Linked DNA regions of Caenorhabditis elegans. The protein of the gene in region 1 interacts with the protein of each later gene in a pairwise test. Each region holds a gene or a part of one and is shown on either strand. Other genes may lie near its edges.

The links. The genes of interacting proteins can lie anywhere in the genome.
Region 2: the proteins of F15E6.5 (region 1) and btb-10 interact in a two-hybrid assay, tested with the Caenorhabditis elegans proteins (one large-scale study listed by BioGRID).

What each region holds. Positions count from the first base shown.
Region 1 is NC_003282.8:4,287,898-4,290,689, forward strand, and holds F15E6.5 (F-box associated domain-containing protein), read left to right. Parts: upstream 1-1,669; coding exon 1,670-2,164; downstream 2,165-2,792. Other genes in the region: srv-4 (Serpentine Receptor, class T), read right to left, coding at 60-275, 374-535; dct-7 (DAF-16/FOXO Controlled, germline Tumor affecting), read right to left, coding at 2,399-2,502, 2,549-2,654.
Region 2 is NC_003280.10:1,058,884-1,062,719, reverse strand, and holds btb-10 (BTB domain-containing protein), read left to right. Parts: upstream 1-1,917; 5' UTR 1,918-1,971; coding exon 1,972-2,075; intron 2,076-2,121; coding exon 2,122-2,488; intron 2,489-2,535; coding exon 2,536-2,680; intron 2,681-2,729; coding exon 2,730-3,007; 3' UTR 3,008-3,058; downstream 3,059-3,836.

The sequences.
Region 1 (2,792 bases):
AAAATTCTATTAAAAGTTCACAGAAAATTACACCAATTTCTCATAAAGCCGAAATGTACCTTTACATGATTCCTAAACCGAAATATCTCGGAGCACCGATTGACGGCAACTACCGTATACCCTAGGAACATGGCATTTTTGATAACTGTCAATGAAAACCACAACAGCTGAGGAATCCAATGATCGTTTGCTGCTTCGAATAGGTTATGAACTCGGTATTTGCGTGGGCGAGCAACCAGCTCCACGTATAGGAACATAAGGAGGTCCGTGATAGCCTAAAATTCTAGGGGTTTTTTAAATTTGCTCAATGGGAAAATGGACCGATGCAGCATGATTCTAAGGCACTGTCCCAAGAAGAAACCTCTCAACTTACATGCATCCTGATAATCAAGAAAAACGACGATTTGAAAACATTTTTTCTTAATTGGTGAATAATATACAAAACCCGCAGGTACAAAAACACAGAAAACCAGCATATCGGAATAAATATCAAATGACTTATTGGGAGTAGACTTAGATTTATGGAGAGCGGCATTTTTAGGACATCAACCAAAAACACGTGTCATTCCAAGAAGATATGAAGAATGGTGGGAAAATAAGAAAAGTTGAGAGAGAAAATTTGAGAGATTGAGAGAGGGTGAGCAGGTGATTTTTGTGTTGTGTTGGGGAAAATTGGAAAAAGGAAAGTAAAGTATTAAACAAGATGGCAACAAACATTAATTTCAACGTTTGACGAGACCAGTTTGTTTCACATGATCCCGAGGAATATCATTGTTCTGACTAAAATTGTTGTGTAACTATACAAAATTCATATACAAATACAAAAATTGCGAGAACGGAATATTTTCTCATTCCCGCATCCAGGACAAGATTTTCGGAAAATTTGAATAGCCGAATATATTAGCTAACAATGTATGGGTCTCTTCATCGCTTAACACTATTTCCTCGTGGCTCGCTTCCGCAGGATACCTGCCGCGAGTCAACTTGCCTGTCAGGCGGCTAGCCCCTTCCTTGCTCTTCTCATCGTTTAGCATTTCTACTATAATTTGAATTATCCCAAATGGATAAAGTTCCTTTTCAAATCTTGAATCTACCACCTAGACAGCTGAGAAATGCTTTGAAATCGATGGATCTGTTATCTTTGTGAGTTCGAAATTAAATCCAAAACGATGAACTGTAATTTTAAATTATTTGGTAAACAAGTCTAGATTCGTTAATTCGACTAATTAAAAAATTTTGAGTAACCTTTTTGACAGAAAATGCCAGTAAAAAATTATCTATGCAAATAAAAAATGGTTTTTGTTATTTTTAGAACATGATTTATTTTCAGAATCTGTCTCTCCTTCACGTCTGGAAACTCAAAAATCCTTCGTTTTCACAGATCCATCAAACCGTGATCGTATTTTTGCGGGAATGTTTAATAACCCACATTCATTTTTGAATGGTGTACTGCCAACCGTCAGCAAATGCACTCCAACTCAATTCCGATGAGTTAATCCGAAATTGAAGGTGAATGAATTTGTGATACATTTGTATATTCCATCAACGAGTGGTTGATGAGGTCTACCTCAACAAGAACAGTTTTCGGTGGATACAAAAAGAGCTGCACGGATTGGAATTCCAATGTCTTCACTTAAAACCATTTAAAAGGAGTACTTCAAATCTGAAAATGCTGAAATCAAATGCTGAGCAAATCGTCTTTAAAGGGTATCCATTACCCGACAATTCAATTCAAACTTATCAAGAAGTTCAAGAAACCTTTCAACACAATCTTAAAATTCTTGAAATCCCATCCAACTATCCTCTAACTCTTAATGATTTATTGATCATCAATTGTTGTATTTTACGAGTCAAATGCATACTGACTCCAAACGTACTGAACTTATTCATAAAGCACTGGATGAACGGGTCCAACCCTTTATTGAAACATTTTTCGGCGAGAATATCAACAGAACTAAACCGCCATCTACGACCATTCATAAATAGACTACTAGCTGGTTTGAAATATGAGACGACAGTTCTAGAGTTTGAATTGAATGCCCAAGAAAATATTGCAGCTCAAGAAGTTTATGTAGTTCAGGGAAACGAAGAAACTCTAGCGATTATAACATTCTCTGATGAAGGTCGTTATTTCCAAATGTTTACTCAACCAGAAGAAAATTAGAGATTTTAATAATTAAGGTCTTAATAATTAAAATTTGAAGCCCAATTGAAAATTTTCTGAAATCAATAATACATATATTGATTGTTTGGCTGTCTTTTAATTTTTAACTAAATGTATGTATATCGTATTGTGTTTATCGTAACTGTATTACTGTTTTTCATGTTTAATAAATATTTGTATTGCATATTCACAATTAATACATTTCAAATTTCAAAAAAAAAAACCGAAAACAAGTTATCCCAAAAGTCCTCCAACAAGTCCTCCTCCAACACCTGGATTGACTCCAACACCGGCATTTCCGTAGGCTCCTTGGTTTCCATATCCATTTCCATACATATCTGGAAATTAGTCTTAAATTGCACCAACTCTTATAAGATAACTTACTTCCTCCAGCTGGTCCGAGTCCCAATCCAGTGTTGAGTCCGATTTGTGCAGTGGCCATAGCAATAAGGCCGAGGAGAACAATGAGATTGCAAAGGAAGCCGAACATGATTTAAAATTCAAGATAACTTGCTGATCGGTTCCTTTCCATGAGCTTATATACAGTCTCCATGTTTTGATTCACCAAACGGTTTAATCCTAGACAATCACATGATCACCATATCCTTATGAGGACAAACTTATCAAG
Region 2 (3,836 bases), on another chromosome or scaffold:
ATAATCCTGTGAGTCTTTGTACAGACAGTTTCGAATTAGAACTTGATTCGCAGATGGTAAGTTTGCCCAGAAAAGCTTCGAAGTCAGATCATCAAATCTTGGGGTTGCCGATGAAAAATCAGCAGCTAAAAGCCGTCAATCCCCTCCAGAACCCTTGTTAGACCTTCAATGTCTAAATTCCCAGAGTCCAAGGGAGTTTTTAGACTAAAATCGATCCTCTGAATCGCCAGCACATCCATCAAGAATTCGAGCCAAGATCTCATGGTTTTCCGGGTGAACACATTCACATGGTGACCGTGCATTGATATTTTTACAAACTGAGGAATGTCAAAACTTGGCACAAAGCATCGGCATTTATTGTAGAACTTCAACCATACTCGTTTATTCCCAAATTTCATCTTGAAATTGAAACCTTTTGCAAAATTGAACCCACTCGAGTCGACTTTCAGGTGGAGTGATTTCACGATTTCTTTGGTGGCGTCGGAGCATAAGGAGAAGGCGAGTCTGGAAGTGAATAAGGTTTTAATAAGTTGGAGAAATTGTTAAATCTCATATTTTCCTGAAAAAATATAACGGAAAAATGTGTCAACTGAAAAACGTGACCTGAAAGCTTGCTAAATTTTTTTTTTCAAAAAAAAAAAAAATCAAATTTGACATAAACTCACAAATGCACAATTTCCATACTGCGAAGCACATTTATCCTTGATTTTTCCGGTAGTCGGAGTATAGGAAAAGGAAGGGGCTCACCGGCATTCATGGCAGTTTACGGAGCAAAATGAGCACACTACGAGGCTCGGGAAGCAATTAGGGGGAGGTGAGGTATTAGCCAGGTGGCTCAGGCCATCTGCCGTTTAGCTTGTTTCAAATACCAAAAGCATTCAGGGGATTCGACATAATTCGATGTGATGAATGTGAGGTAAATGTGGAACAACACTGATTTGGGTACTTTAGGGTAGGATTAACCACCAAAAGGGTCTTGGCTCCGATCAGGGGTGTGCGGAAAATCTCAAAATTTGCCGAGCTCGACAAACGGCAAATTCGGCAAATTTGCCGCACACCCCTGCCTCCGACTGGGTTGTAAATGGGTACCTTTGGCGAAAATTGACATAACTTTAGAACCTGATTAGCTACAAAAAATTAAAATATATTTCTTGAAAGTTAAATTAATGGGAACATTTTTGGTAATATTATCAAAAAAAAAATTATATTTTTTCTTTGAGATATAACAGTTTCAATATGTAAAACTACTGTTTTCAACTGAAAAACGCCAATTTTACTTCAATATTTTAAAGTTCTCAGTAGGAATCGTAAGTTTTTATGTTGTTTTTGATATGGAAAATAACATGATCTTATTTTATTTTTCTAAGTTTCATCAAAATTGGAAGCGAAAATTTTTTTTGAGAAAATTCACCAAAAATATATTTTGAAAAATTATTTCAAAAGCTTGCTATATGATTAGAAAAGCCAAAAAGAAATCAAAGAAATTTAGTACTAAATCAAAAAGTCTTGACAAAATTAAAAATTTCCAAAGAAAACTATAATCACAGATAATTTAAAGTGCATCAGAAAAGGATTTCTACCATGTTCTGTTAAAAATTAACAAAAAACCAAAAGTAAGAGGTGCACATTTACATCCCGTGTAGATCCTTTGACTTTTCAGTTTTCTCCAAACTGTTCAGGGACGACTGGTTTCTCGGAGCGAATTCTCAGTTCGATAAGAAATTCAGCAGATTGATTTGAACACATAGATTCGTTGCGGGAAAAGAGCCTTCCACCTTCCCAAGATTTCCAGCAACCTTTCCCATCTGCGCACAGTTTGTATCGATCTGCAACACCGTGTGCGCGCATAAATTGCCTAGGCTACTCTCACTCTACATTTTTGTGGGCCCCTACAATCATCTTTTTTGTTTTCTCTTCTGCTTTCTTTGTCTATTCTTGTATCCTTGCATCTTTCCAGAATTTACCGAAACAATGGACAATATTGTTACTCAAAATATTAAATTTGAAAGCGAACCAAATTACTACCTAAGAGGTTACCACCTCTTTGATATCAGTCCTTTGAACGGATTAAAATGGTAAGAAAAATGTTATTGAACGACAGATGAAACAGTATTTTTTTAGTGAGATAACTGATGAATTCGAGACTGACAAGATTCACCTGAAAATAAAGCTGGATTGGGATCAGCAAGAAATAAAGAAGATCACTGGTTTCATCCAATTGTCGTATGATGGGCATCAACTGAAGCCTATTGATTCGAACTTTGACAAACGAGGAGGAATCTGTATAATGACAGTCCCAAAATACATTAATGCATACCGCTGGTCGTTTTCGTTTGATCTAAAACTCCATCGCTACCCAGCCAAGCCACCTCAGATTTCTCATGACCTCAATCCTCAGGTCAGGTCTTATGACACAATGTTCGAGCCGTCCAGGAAGCACGATGCGGTGCTCTTAATCGGAGAGAAGAAGCTTCATGTGAACAAGGCTGTAAGTTTTAATTTGGAATCTTGCTAAGCTAAGCTTGAAAATTTCAGTTCCTCTCCTACCACTCCGACTATTTCTGTGATCTATTTGCTGAGAAATTCGATGAGAAAAACGGGATCCCCATCGAAAACGTGACCTATGAGAATTTCGGACTTCTCATGAGTATTATCTACCCTGAAGCGGCTTTCTCGAATCGTGAGTTATTCCTGATCCCTTCCAGCAACCAACTAATCTCAATTTTCAGATCAAAACGCTGAAGTCCTTCTCGAGCTGGGAAATCGTTTCAAGATCCCAGCAGTGATGCGCCACGTGGAAAATCAAATCATTCGAGACACCAAGTTCCCAAATGAACGGTTGATTTTTCTGGCAGACAAATACGAACTTCAAAAGCTATTGGCTATGGAAATCCAGAAGATGGAAAGCTTCGATCAGGCTAAGAAGTTCAAAGGATCTGATGATTACTCGCAGTTATCGGATGCGACAAAAGCCAAGATCTTGGATCGACTCATTGAGTTATCTTGATTTTTTCTTCAAGACCTGATTTGATTCTTGGAAATAAATCATTCTGTTATGTTTTTTTGAATTATTAGGTTCTTCAATTGGGCGTACATGACTTTTACAGGGCGATAATAATTGCGCGCAAACGGGAACGTGAGCGGCAGGGTTAAGCTTCTCAATAAGCATTGGTACATGATTTTATAGATCATTTTGACAAGGCAATCATGAGTTGCAAACTCGAGCAAGTCGACCAGCTCAAAAAATAGGCTCAGCACCCGGTGTACTGAGCCCCGATCTGAAAAACCAACAAGTTCTTAAAACCAGACACAGCGAAATGGGCAAAAAAAAAACGACTGGGCTTCACAGTTTGGCTATAAACAATTGAAATTTTCTTGGTTATGAGGAAACCCTCTCATCTCTTGTTTCCGTAAAAAAATTATTACATAGAATATAAACATTTATTATTTAATTTTACAAATAAAAAGAGCTCTTCTGACGCCATAAAATGAGTTTAAATTGGAACAATTGCAAGGAGAATTACTCTCCAACCATGTAGAGCATATACCACTTGGCATAAAAGAGATTGACAACAGTCAGTTGTCCATGCCAATTGAAGGTTCCTGGACCCTTACGAGCCCCATTTTTTTTCGTCCATCTGACAGCCACATCTCTGGAAGTAACCGCCAAAAAGTACGAGCATCCCTTGAACTCGTTCTTCGCAGATGAGATCACTGCCGATCGAAGGTACTCTTTCATAAGAGTTGTCAAAGTGTGCAAAAGGTTTCCTCCGCTAGTTTTCCGATCCCTGTTATTGTCCAGTATATCCCCATATTGCAAACATGTCGACTCGTTG